Pelodiscus sinensis: one gene and its partners. Each later gene encodes a partner of the first gene's protein in a complex. Links are inferred from orthologs where the notes say so. Each region holds a gene or a part of one and is shown on either strand. Other genes may lie near its edges.

Region 1 (3,746 bases):
TCATATTTCTACAGGCGTCCCAGCAGAAACACATGGGAATCACAGTTGCACAAGTGACTATTTACATGAAGCGTTTGTGATAGAGACCCCTCTGAGCTTGCACTCCTACTCTACATTTCTTGAAATGGTAATGGCCAAAGATTTTAAGCAATTTAGGTCCCCATGTTTAAGTTCCCATGGATTTGGGTGCCTAACTCCCTAAAATCCTTTGAAAGTCCTAACCTTTGTATTCAAAAAGCATATTAGCACAGGCATGTATTTCACACGTACATGCAATATCCAGAGTGGTATCTGCACTACTATTTCAGCCAGTTTGTACGCTAAAAATGCTCCAGGGTTTTTAAAAATACAAGAAAGTGCTCAATAGAAAAACTACAGCTTTCAGATCACTTTCCATCAAAGTTCATTCCAACAACCCAGGCCAGAGCTTCGTTCATGCCAAGACCAATAATTGATTCTAAAAGTTTTCAGTTTGTTTCGAGAAAGTAATTCTAATAAACTATCTCAAAGCAAGCACGCAGTTATTTCCACCTCGACTACTTACACTCCTGTACATGCGAGCAGGGTGCGGCAGGACCAGACGGTGCACAGTCTGATTGGTCACAATCAAGATGACGACGAGATTCTGCGTTTCACACACATGCACCCCTCCAGGTAAGAGGCTGCAGTTCTGGATTTTGAGCCGAATGGCATTATTCAGGAGATTTATATCCAGCGATTCCTCTACCAGCTCCAAAGTATCTCCGGAAGCGGTCCTGAAAACAGGAAAAAGCTTTTTATCTTCATGATTACAAAGCCTTTAGACTTACAGGGCAGGTCTACACTTAGAACACTGGAGCGGCATCGCTGCAGCACTTTCCCAGCAAGAGGGCTTCTCCAACTGGTGGACATAGTGCTGTCTAAACTAGGGGTTAGATCAGTTTAACTGTATTGCTTGGAGATATAGATTTGTCAACTCTTTCTGTATGACACAGTTACACTGACCTAATTTCCTCACATCAACCTAGCCACAGACTCTGCTTATTCCCACTGATTTCTCAGGACCTCCATGCAAAAGCTCAACCCATTCAGCAAAGCAGTTGAGCATGTGCTCAAATTAGGGATGACAACACGTAGCCTGGGCCTCTCAGTTAATCTTGTAGACTACAGGCAATCCCCCCCCCTGCCCCTTGCTGCCTCTGATTCGGATACCCATGTAGTCTCCCCACCATTTACCAATGAATAAAGCGGTTCCGGGTGACTGACACCAGCTGGGCGCTCTCCTGGTAGCAGAACCCACCGGCGCTGTCTGCATAGCGCCCAGCTCCGGAGCCTGCACTGACACCTGTGGGGGGAGAGGGAGAGAAGGGTCAGTGTAAGCAGAGTGGGAGGGTGCAACACTCAGGGGCAGAGGGGGGGTGTCACGAGAGCTGGGGGGGCAGGCAAAGAGGCAGAGTGAGGGTGTCTGAGGAGCGGAGGGGGCTGGCGGGGAGTGCGTTGGGGGGCTGGCGGGGAGTGCGTTGGGGGGGCAGGTTGGGGGGCAGGTGGGGAGTGCATTGGGGGGCTGGAGGGGAGTGCATTGGGGGCAGGTTGGGGGGGCAGGTGGGGAGTGCGTTGGGGGGCTGGAGGGGAGTGCATTGGGGGGCAGGTTGGGGGGGCAGGTGGGGAGTGCGTTGGGGGGCTGGAGGGGAGTGCATTGGGGGGCTGGAGGGGAGTGCATTGGGGGGCGGGTTGGGGGGCAGGTGGGGAGTGCGTTGGGGGGTTGGGGGGACTGGAGGGGAGTGCGTTGGGGGACTGGAGGGGAGTGCGTTGGGGGGTTGGGGGGACTGGAGGGGAGTGCGTTGGGGGACTGGAGGGGAGTGCGTTGGGGGGTTGGGGGGACTGGAGGGGAGTGCGTTGGGGGACTGGAGGGGAGTGCGTTGGGGGACTGGAGGGGACTGGAGGGGAGTGCGTTGGGGGGTTGGGGGGACTGGAGGGGAGTGCGTTGGGGGACTGGAGGGGAGTGCGTTGGGGGGTTGGGGGGACTGGAGGGGAGTGCGTTGGGGGGTTGGGGGGACTGGAGGGGAGTGCGTTGGGGGACTGGAGGGGAGTGCGTTGGGGGGTTGGGGGGACTGGAGGGGAGTGCGTTGGGGGGACTGGAGGGGAGTGCGTTGGGGGGACTGGAGGGGAGTGCGTTGGGGGACTGGGGGGACTGGAGGGGAGTGCGTTGGGGGACTGGAGGGGAGTGCGTTGGGGGGACTGGAGGGGAGTGCGTTGGGGGACTGGGGGGACTGGAGGGGAGTGCGTTGGGGGACTGGAGGGGAGTGCGTTGGGGGACTGGAGGGGAGTGCGTTGGGGGGTTGGGGGGACTGGAGGGGAGTGCGTTGGGGGGACTGGAGGGGAGTGCGTTGGGGGGACTGGAGGGGAGTGCGTTGGGGGACTGGGGGGACTGGAGGGGAGTGCGTTGGGGGACTGGAGGGGAGTGCGTTGGGGGACTGGAGGGGACTGGAGGGGAGTGCGTTGGGGGGGCTGGGAGGAGCAGGCGGGGGGCTGGGATGGGGGCTACTGGCAGGAGGTGTCTGGGGCGGGGCAGGGAGGAGGCTGCAGGGATGCCCCGGGGCTGGGGTCGGGTAGGAGCTGCGGGGGGGGGGGGGCGGCCAGGCAGGAGCTGGGGGGGCGGGGCAGCTGCTTGGGGGCGGGGCCAGGTGCTGGGGGGCGGGGCCAGATGGGGCTGGGGAGCCGATGCGGGGAGGGGGTGTCCCAGGCGGGCCCCGCTACCTGGCGGGCTCAGCGCGAGCTCCCGGACGCGGCGGCGCGGGCCGCGCTCGGCCCCGCTCAGCTCCAGGCAGCTCCGCTCGGCCAGCGCCGCCGCCATCTTCCCTTCCCGCGCGCCGCGCGGCCCCACGGGAAGCCGGGGACGGGACCGAGGCGCAAGGGGCGGGGCCCTCGGCTGAGGCCCCGCCCCTTCCCGGCCCCCTGCGGGAGCCACCCAAGGATTCTTGTGACGTCAGGGGCCGCACCGCGCCACGTGCCTGCAGCGCGCGCCCGGGACTGCCGCGTTCGGCCAAACCCCCCCCCCCCCATGTGGCGCGCGAGGACGAGGATTCCCCCTGCCTGGGCGGGCGGCTCGCGCTCATGCGTGCACTGCCCCCCCCCCCGGACCCTTCTGTCTACAGGCACCAGTCGCCCCGGGGGGTGCAAAGTAGCCAAACTTGAGCAAGCCCCCCCCAGGCACCAGCCCTGAGCATCATAGAGCCCCAGCGCGGGGGGGACCTCCAGAGACCACCACGCCCCGTCTAGCTAAGGGGTGGGGAGCTTCTCTTGAGCCAGAGCCACTGAGCCACCGAAAAACCACTCGAGGGCTGCACTGAGGTGGCCCCCGACGGAAGAAGAAAGACCCTCCTCACATTTCCCTCCACACCAGAGCCTAGGGGGGCCCAGCCTAGTAGATTTTGTGTGCTCCAGCCCCACAGTGGGGCAGCGGGTGGCAGGGGGGACTGGAGGGCCACCACAGGAGCCCCAAGCCTTGGGGCCAGATCCAGGCAAACCGAGGGCCCCATGCAGCCCCTGGACGTTAGGTTCCCCACCCTTGATTTAGCTCCTCCCTGACAGAGCCTCCCTGTCTAACTTGCTCTGAAAGATTTGCGCCAGGGTCTCTAACATCCCAGACCAGTCTCCTAACCACAAGGCTAGAGAGTGCACTATGTGGCTAAACCCCTTTGTTTTTGGTTTAAACCCATTTTTTTTAACCAAAAATGTCCTGGGTTTTACAAAAAATATTTTTTTCT
Region 2 (3,746 bases), on another chromosome or scaffold:
AGAAACACATATTTAAAAAAGAATTAAAAATGAATAAATTTTCAGTGTTTCACCAGGCTGCATCCTCCGCCCAGCCTGGGCCAGAGCTTGGGGGACCTGGTGCTGCATGGGCACTCCTGGAGGCAGGAGCAGGAGCAGATTGGGGGTAGGGTATCTGGCTAGGAGGGGTAGGGTTGTCAGGTGTCCGGTTTTGTACCGGACAGTCTGGTATTTTCTAATTAGGTAAGTTTTATTATTACTGAGGTTTATCAGTCTGTAGCTGCGAACTGCCTGGTTGGTAGATGTGCTCACGCTGCCTGAGCGTGTCTACCAGCCAAGCAGTTCGCAACTACTCAAGGGAGGGTATGGGGGACAAAATGGAATCCCTGGGGCCAGACTCATTTGTGTAGCTTGGTCTGCATGTGCCCGGGTCAGTCCCGCCTCCCGCTTCTCCTCCCGATCTCCCCCGTCCAGCCCTGCTTCCAGTGGCCGGTTCCCCACCCTACCTCCATCCACCGATCTCCCCCGCTCCCCCCGACCTCCTCCCAGCCGGCCAATTCTCCCCCACTTCTCCTCCTGATCTCCCTTGGCCAGCCCCACTGTCCCCGTCCAGCCCTGCTTCCGTAGGCTGGTTCTCCCATCCTCCTCCTCCCAATCTCCCCCGGCCAGCCCCCCACCCCCTGCTTCCGCCGGCCCGCCTCCCCTCCATCTCCGCCGGACAGCCCCGCTGCCCCCAAGCCTGCTTCCCGGCGGCCGGTTCCCCCCCACCAGGCCTCCTCCCAGCCCGCCCCGCTCTCCTCCCGGCAGCCACGCCACAGCCCATAGTTTAGGAAACGCTGCCCCAGCTAGTGTAGGAGACAAAGGGACTCTCCTTCAGGAGCTCGCAGTGACAGGCTCCCCCCCCCGCTACACTCTAGTTCATCTTCACAGCCCCATAGGCGCTATAACACCCTTAACCTGGCCCCACAGCGGACACGCCCCCTCGCAGTTCACTCCGCGCCCCCTACACATCCCCGCAGCGCAGCCCCCTTCTCCCGCTCCACACTTCACCCGTTACCCTGCCCTTGGCACCTACAGGGCTCTACAGCAGCCGTCTCGGCTCTCGCGCACAGCAGCGCCCGCCCCCAGCCGCCTCCGCGCTATGCCTCCCTTAGCCCCAGTATAATTCGACAGGGAGCCCTTGACAGGGCCCGCTCTATACATCTGCCCATGGCAGCTCCCTGACTAACTCACCTCACTGGACGGCGCCATCTTGCGGCCCCTGTCCGTCACGTGGTTGGGAGCCCGCGGGGCGGAGGGAAGAGCGGGTCCGCATCACGTGATGCAGGTGGCTGTGCGGCGGGTAACGGGTCACGTGAGAGGGGAGCGAAGATGGCGGTCGGCGGGCTGTGCGCGAGGTAGGGGAACGCGGTGCCGCTGAGGGAACTTTCCCCTACCCCGACACTCACCCGCATCGGGGCTAGGCGCCGGGCCAAGGAGCTCGTGTTTAAACGGCAACTGGGGAAGGAGGGGGAGAGGGGGCAAGTCCTGCCCCGCCGTGCCCCCGGCTGGTAATTTCCCCCCAAAAGAGGCTCCTCCCACTGACCCCAGCCCATGCGAGAGGCTCCTCCCCATGACCCCGATCCTCAACTGCTCCCCCTCAGGAGAGGCCCCTCCCCCCCAACCCGGTGACCCGCTCTAGCGGCCACTTACGGAGCATAGTTCCCACTGCCTCTGTCCTGCCCCGGAGCGGAGCTCACCCCCCCCCCCCCCGCTGCGCACGCACCCGGGGCCTCCTGCGTGGAAGCGGCAGGCAGCGGCTCACGCCACGTGCTAGCCATTTCGCGGATAGAGTGGCCCTGTGAGTGCCCTAGGCTGGCGCGCGCTCTGCTCTCTGCCCCATTGGGATGGAATCTGTCCGGGCACCGGCGTCCCTTTGCTCCCAGCCTGCTGCGTGCTTGGGCCTGTGACCACGCTCCACTGGGACTCCCCCTCCCCCGAGCCCCTAGGGCTGCTCTGCTAGTGGGAATCCCTGCTCTCTTTCCCACCCGTCCAGATGAGCTGAGGCGACTTTCTCTGCTCCTGCCTGCGGACATCAGAATAAAGTTCTCCAGGAGAGTCATGAAATCTATATAGGCTATGTCTACACTGCAGGTTTTTTGCACAAGAACACTGCACGTGTGTACTTGAGCAAGTAACAAAACAGGGCTTCTTCCAGAAGAGTTATTCCTCTCCCCACGAGGAATAAGCCCTCTTGCGCAGGAGCTCTTCCACAAGAGGACAGTGTAGACAGGCAACATGAATTTCTTGCACAAGAAACCCCTATGGCTAAAATGGCCATCAGAGCTTTCTTGTGCAAGAGAGCATCCACGCTGCCACGGAGGCTCTTGCGCAAAAGCACATCTCTTCTGCAATAGCACATGGCAGTGTGGACGCTCTCTTGTGCAAGAACTTTTGCACAAGAACTCTTATGCAGAATTGGTGTAGTGTAGTGTAGATGTAGCCTAAGCGTTTATTCCATTGAGGAGATCTTGGAAATAGAAGTATATGAGAGCTGAAGCGGACTAGATGACATATGGGGCCGTATTCTACTTCCATATGGTCCTGCTCTGTCCCCTCATGATGTAATTAACTCATGCATCCCTGTTTGGAACTTTTCCTGCTTAGTGATTGTTTGAAGGGGAATTGGTGAGGTACTGTTGTAAATCCCCAAGAAGCCATCTATTTTTACTAAATAACATTAAATATATTTCAGCATTTTACTAGCATTAATCATGGCCAAGTTAAATTATCAGTTTACATGAAGGCCTCCACCTCTCCTCTCTATAACAAAACAAGTGGTTCCCGATCTCTTAGGGCCACTGCAGCAATTTATTAAACACTTAATGCCCCAAACACACCAGCAATACTTTCCCTCTGGAGCTTGGGCTGCTCTTAATTTTAGTTTTGTATCCTAGTCTGGTGAATTAAGAGTTTGTACAGCTGAGTGAGAGGTGGAAGTTGTGGCTTAAGAGAGACTGACTCAAGATTAAGTTGTCTGGTGTTTGGGGGAGCCTATTGGAACCAATCACCAAGCTTTTGTAACCCCTAACATGAAAATCCTAAGTAAACTACAATCCAATTATAATGTTCCTCCTAACTTCAGTGTTTGGAAAGGTAATATATTCTTTAGCAGTGACAGGAAATATTTGGAAAAAAAGGTACAAGGGATTAGCAATTAATTCATATTTTCCTTGTGTTCCTTTTGTTCTCTGTCTCTCTTAGAAAGCTAAGTAGTGAGTGTCATTTAACAAATATAGAACCGTTTAAGGGTTTTGCTGCATAATTGAAATCTCAGTTTACATCAGAGTTGCACATCTTTAAAAGGGGACATGTTGGTTGAATCTGTGTACAACATTGCTGTGTGTATGACACACACAAAATTGCATATTATCAATTTTGCTTTGCAAAATATGATAGAGTATAGTCTGATTTTAGAGTTTTAACCTCCAGAAGCTTTAAAGACTTGAGGCCAGAGATTCGTTTTTTGCATCACAGGGATAGTTTATCATGAACGTGATATTCTGGGATCTGATTTTCACTTTTAATTGAACACCACATTTCCTCGAGTGTACAAAATATACATAGTAATTTTTGCTCTGAATAAGCTGCTTTCCAGGTCACTTTGCACAGAATATGTTCTCATTGTTTTTGGAAATATTTTTGAGACTTGCTGGAAATAAGTACTGTAACACCTCCATACTTGATGGAAAGAAAGTCTGACTCCAAGTAAAATTTGTATGTATTAT
Region 3 (3,746 bases), on another chromosome or scaffold:
GTGAACTCGTTCAAGGCTTTTGGCTGAATGCTGTTTTGGGCAGCGATGTAAGTAAGAAGAGAGATCAGACAGACACAGAAAACAGACAAAAAGAGAGGGAAGGAGAAGCAAGAAAGACAAGCAGGATCATGTGGTACAGTGTGACTGGAAAAAGCTAGAGCACGCTTTTGGGTCTGATTTGACTAAAGAGACTTGGAGACTGTACAGTATTCTTGATTCTACCTACAGAATCACAGGACTTTGTATGTTCCCTGTTAATAAACAAGATTCCTTCAACTTTTATTCCTAACTGGAATATCATCAGGGCCCTTTCTGCTGACCAGGTGAAAAGGGACAACAATCGCATGTTTTGTAATATCAAATAATCCCGATAATTATTTAATGATTATCATACTAACTTGTATAAATGTATGCATAGTTTTCACCTAGAGATGTTAGCGTATACCTATTTACCGATAATTCTGGGCTCACTGCTTAATCCTCCTGATGGTTACATGCACCTTCCCAACTTCCTCCGTATTAGAAGCAGGAAGAGGTGGGTGCCAGCTCCACAGTAGCCACTCCCCCTACCGGGGGAAGGGAGAAAGCAAGTGGGAGCCAGTACATGGAGGAGCCAATTTTTAAGTTGGCTTTCCATGTGTGCCAGCTCTTGCAGAGCTGCTTCCCACCCAGGCAGCAGCACTGCAGGGGGGGAAGGGCAGCTGGCTTTTAAGTTGGCTCCCTCCCAAGCACCAGCTTCCATCTACCCCCCCCACCCCCTCGCCAGTGCTGCCTCTGTGGGAGGCAACAGGGGATGGCAGGTGGCTCCATTGGAGCTGACTGCCCACCTGCCGCAGCACTGCTGCCTCTGATACAGAGGCACAGCACTGGGGGGGAAGGGGGAAAGGACAGCCTGGCGGGAGTTGGTACGTGTCCTATTTTCACCCTCATACAGATCTATTTCAGATACCAGCAACTGCAACCTTCAATCCACAGCTCTAAAACTGAAGTGGAACAAGGAACTGGTAGAAAAAAAATGCTATTATTCAATATATAGACCAACCTGTGCTACAAGGAACCACAACACACACATTTTCCAGTGGATTACACTGGATAGGTGTGCGATAGCAGGGGAATGCTGAGCATTATTTACTTCTATTATTGTTCCAGTAGCACATTATGGTCTTGTGGTTACAGCACATCCAAATATGAGGGAATGAACACGTAATGTCTGGATGTGAAGACATGACCATCTACCATTTCCCAGCGCCGCAGACTCACAGGCGGGCCTGCAAAGCTCAGCCAGGGTGGACTGACGCCACAACGGAAGGGCGGAGTCTCCAAGATACATCCGGGACTCTCCCCATTTCCCACCGCTTTTGAAATTTAATCGTCCCTTCGCCAATGCAAAGCCCTGGGGCATTCTGGGTAAAAACGGAAGCTGCGTACCTCAACCAAACTAAATAGAAGGCGGGCAGTCACATTGGCTGGCAAGCATTTTAACCAATAAGAGGGTACGATAGAGAGGAGGGCGGGAGGAAGCGGGTGCTCAGCCAGTTAGCTTAGCGACAGAAGGGAGCACCGCTACTAGTGACTGCATTGTATCGTGTTTCCAAGGGGAGCTAGAGCGGCGCCCTTGCTGGTGTCCAGTGCCGGTGGCGGCGGGGGAAGCCCAGTCCGGCCGGGGGTGGGGACGCAACCATGAGTTTGGCTTTCAGGTCTGTACGGGCGGAGAGAGGCGCTGGAGTCTGGCCCCAGGCCTCATCTTGCGGGCTGCGGGGCGCGCGGGCCCAGTGGGCTAAAGCGGGGGGGGGCTACGAGAAAAGCCGCTGTTGCTCACTGGGGGGGCGGCTTGGTGCCCCTCCCCCGGCCCTATACTGGGGCGCTGGAGTCCCAGCTCTGTCCTTTGTCGCTAGCTGTTGTCTGCTGCAGCCTTTCCTTGTGTCAGGGCAGTGCCCCTCCGACGAGACGTGGGCTTAGGGCTTTGCAGGGCTCCTGCCCATTTCAAGGAAGTAAAGAATCCCAGGGTCCTGCTGGATGCCGAGCAGAGCGCCTGACGAGGAGCATGGCAGCAGCTAGGTGACTTGCAGCCCTCCTCCTGCACGCTCGGTGTCCTGCCCCGTCTTCATCTGACAGGAACCGCCCCCGAGCAATAGTCATTAAGATTAGCTAAGATTTAGCCGCTCAGGATGATCCTGCGAGAAGATTAATGCAGACTTCATGGACAGACTGCCCCTTAATCTCTACAGACTGTTATTTAATGAGGGGTGTTGCCCTGTTTATGTGCGAGACCCATACAATTCAGATTTTTTTTGGAACTGTTTTGTTTTGAATACTTCATTGTTAAAACACATTTAGTTTTAAATAGCCATAACTTTGGAATGGCTTTGAATAAATTGCTTTTGCTGGCGAGAACAGGTAAGGCATCAAAAATAAATCCAGAATCTAGTGTTAAGATATCTTATCTGTCGGCATTTCACATACTATCGGCACAGTAAATAGTACTATACATTAGGAATGTAAAACCATTTAAATGGCTAACCAATAAGCATCGGTTTCCATACAGTTACACAGTTAACCTTTTACAGACCTACCCTGCAGCAGAAGAAGTGGGTAAAATTGGGTCAGTTTCCCAGGTGTCATGGTAGATAGTCTATCACTGACTATTTTTAAATCAAATTTGATCTTTTTCCTAAATAGATGCTCGGAGAATTATTTTTTTGAGAGTTCTATGGCCCATGATATATAAGTGGTCAGACTAGATGATTACAGTGGTCCCTTTTGGTTTTAGAGTAGAATCTATGAAGGATGGCTCTAAACATCCTTTCCAAGTCCACCTTCTGTAGCTAACTGTGAGCTGTTTTAGTTCATTCTTAAATTTAGAAGCCGAGAGGCTGAAATAAAAAAAATGTCAATGGCTAGAGTACATAAATCCTACATAAATTCTTCAGCAGCTAAACATAGTAAGAGTGCAAGGTGAGTTTCATTGGTGCAAACCTTGGTTTTTCTTGTGTATATATATTTGCACAGGTACAACTACATTTTCTGAGCTTTAAGACCCCCAGCTTCTTGCTGTGGGAAGAAGCCAGACAGGATTACGAAAGCGCTGCATTCTGGGACAGCTCTCCCTGGCCAGGAAGAGATGGAAGGGGAGGTGGATCTGTGCTCTACCATTGCCCCTCCCTGGGCTAGATCCACATTCATTGCCAGTAGTTAAGAAAAACTCTGTCCCTGCACTCAACTGCAGGCTTTTTCCCCTTCCTCCATTGGCCAGGAATCGAGGCAAATGCAGAATGGTCCAGAACCACCAACTTGCTCCTGCACCCTACCTCCTGTCCAGAGCCTGCTCCGTGGCAGCTCCCTCCTGCACACCGAAGTAAGGATGCTAAATAACAATTAATTTACTTGTTAAGTAGTCCATGGAATTTCCCTTGACTACTTGACTAGTAATTAATCAGTTTTAAGCTGGTTCTCCCTGAGCACCAGTTCCCACGTGCCTCCCTGTGCTACTGCCTCTGTGAGAGGGGGAGGGTCAGTCGGCTATGTGGGTGCCAGCTTAAAAGCAAAGGCACTTCTGCCTGCATCCTCAGCAGTTGTTTTTCACAGCAGAGCTGTTAGGGTAGCTGTAGGAGAAGGAACTGCAGTGGTAAAAGGAAACTGTCAATTTTGGGCCAGGCCTCAGGCCACCCTAAGGGGCCTCATCACCTAAGCCAGCCTTTTGAAGACATGGTTGAGACCAGCACACCATATTGGTCACCAGTTCCACC

Evidence for each region.
Region 2: NUP160 (region 1) and NUP188 share a complex: the UniProt entries of both Homo sapiens proteins name them as parts of the nuclear pore complex. The link is inferred for Pelodiscus sinensis from reciprocal best matches to the Homo sapiens genes NUP160 and NUP188.
Region 3: NUP160 (region 1) and CETN3 share a complex: the UniProt entries of both Homo sapiens proteins name them as parts of the nuclear pore complex. The link is inferred for Pelodiscus sinensis from reciprocal best matches to the Homo sapiens genes NUP160 and CETN3.

What each region holds. Positions count from the first base shown.
Region 1 is NC_134714.1:129,151,419-129,155,164, forward strand, and holds the start of NUP160 (nuclear pore complex protein Nup160), read right to left. Parts: upstream 2,901-3,746; 5' UTR 2,834-2,900; coding exon 2,737-2,833; intron 1,325-2,736; coding exon 1,216-1,324; intron 756-1,215; coding exon 545-755; intron 1-544. UniProt on the Homo sapiens protein: Functions as a component of the nuclear pore complex (NPC). Involved in poly(A)+ RNA transport.
Region 2 is NC_134732.1:11,927,271-11,931,016, forward strand, and holds the start of NUP188 (nucleoporin NUP188), read left to right. Parts: upstream 1-1,249; 5' UTR 1,250-1,350; coding exon 1,351-1,376; intron 1,377-1,671; exon of another isoform or gene 1,672-1,714; intron 1,715-1,740; exon of another isoform or gene 1,741-1,819; intron 1,820-3,746. UniProt on the Homo sapiens protein: Component of the nuclear pore complex (NPC), a complex required for the trafficking across the nuclear envelope. Required for proper protein transport into the nucleus.
Region 3 is NC_134716.1:74,604,519-74,608,264, forward strand, and holds the start of CETN3 (centrin-3), read left to right. Parts: upstream 1-1,539; 5' UTR 1,540-1,680; coding exon 1,681-1,697; intron 1,698-3,746. UniProt on the Homo sapiens protein: Plays a fundamental role in microtubule-organizing center structure and function. As a component of the TREX-2 complex, involved in the export of mRNAs to the cytoplasm through the nuclear pores.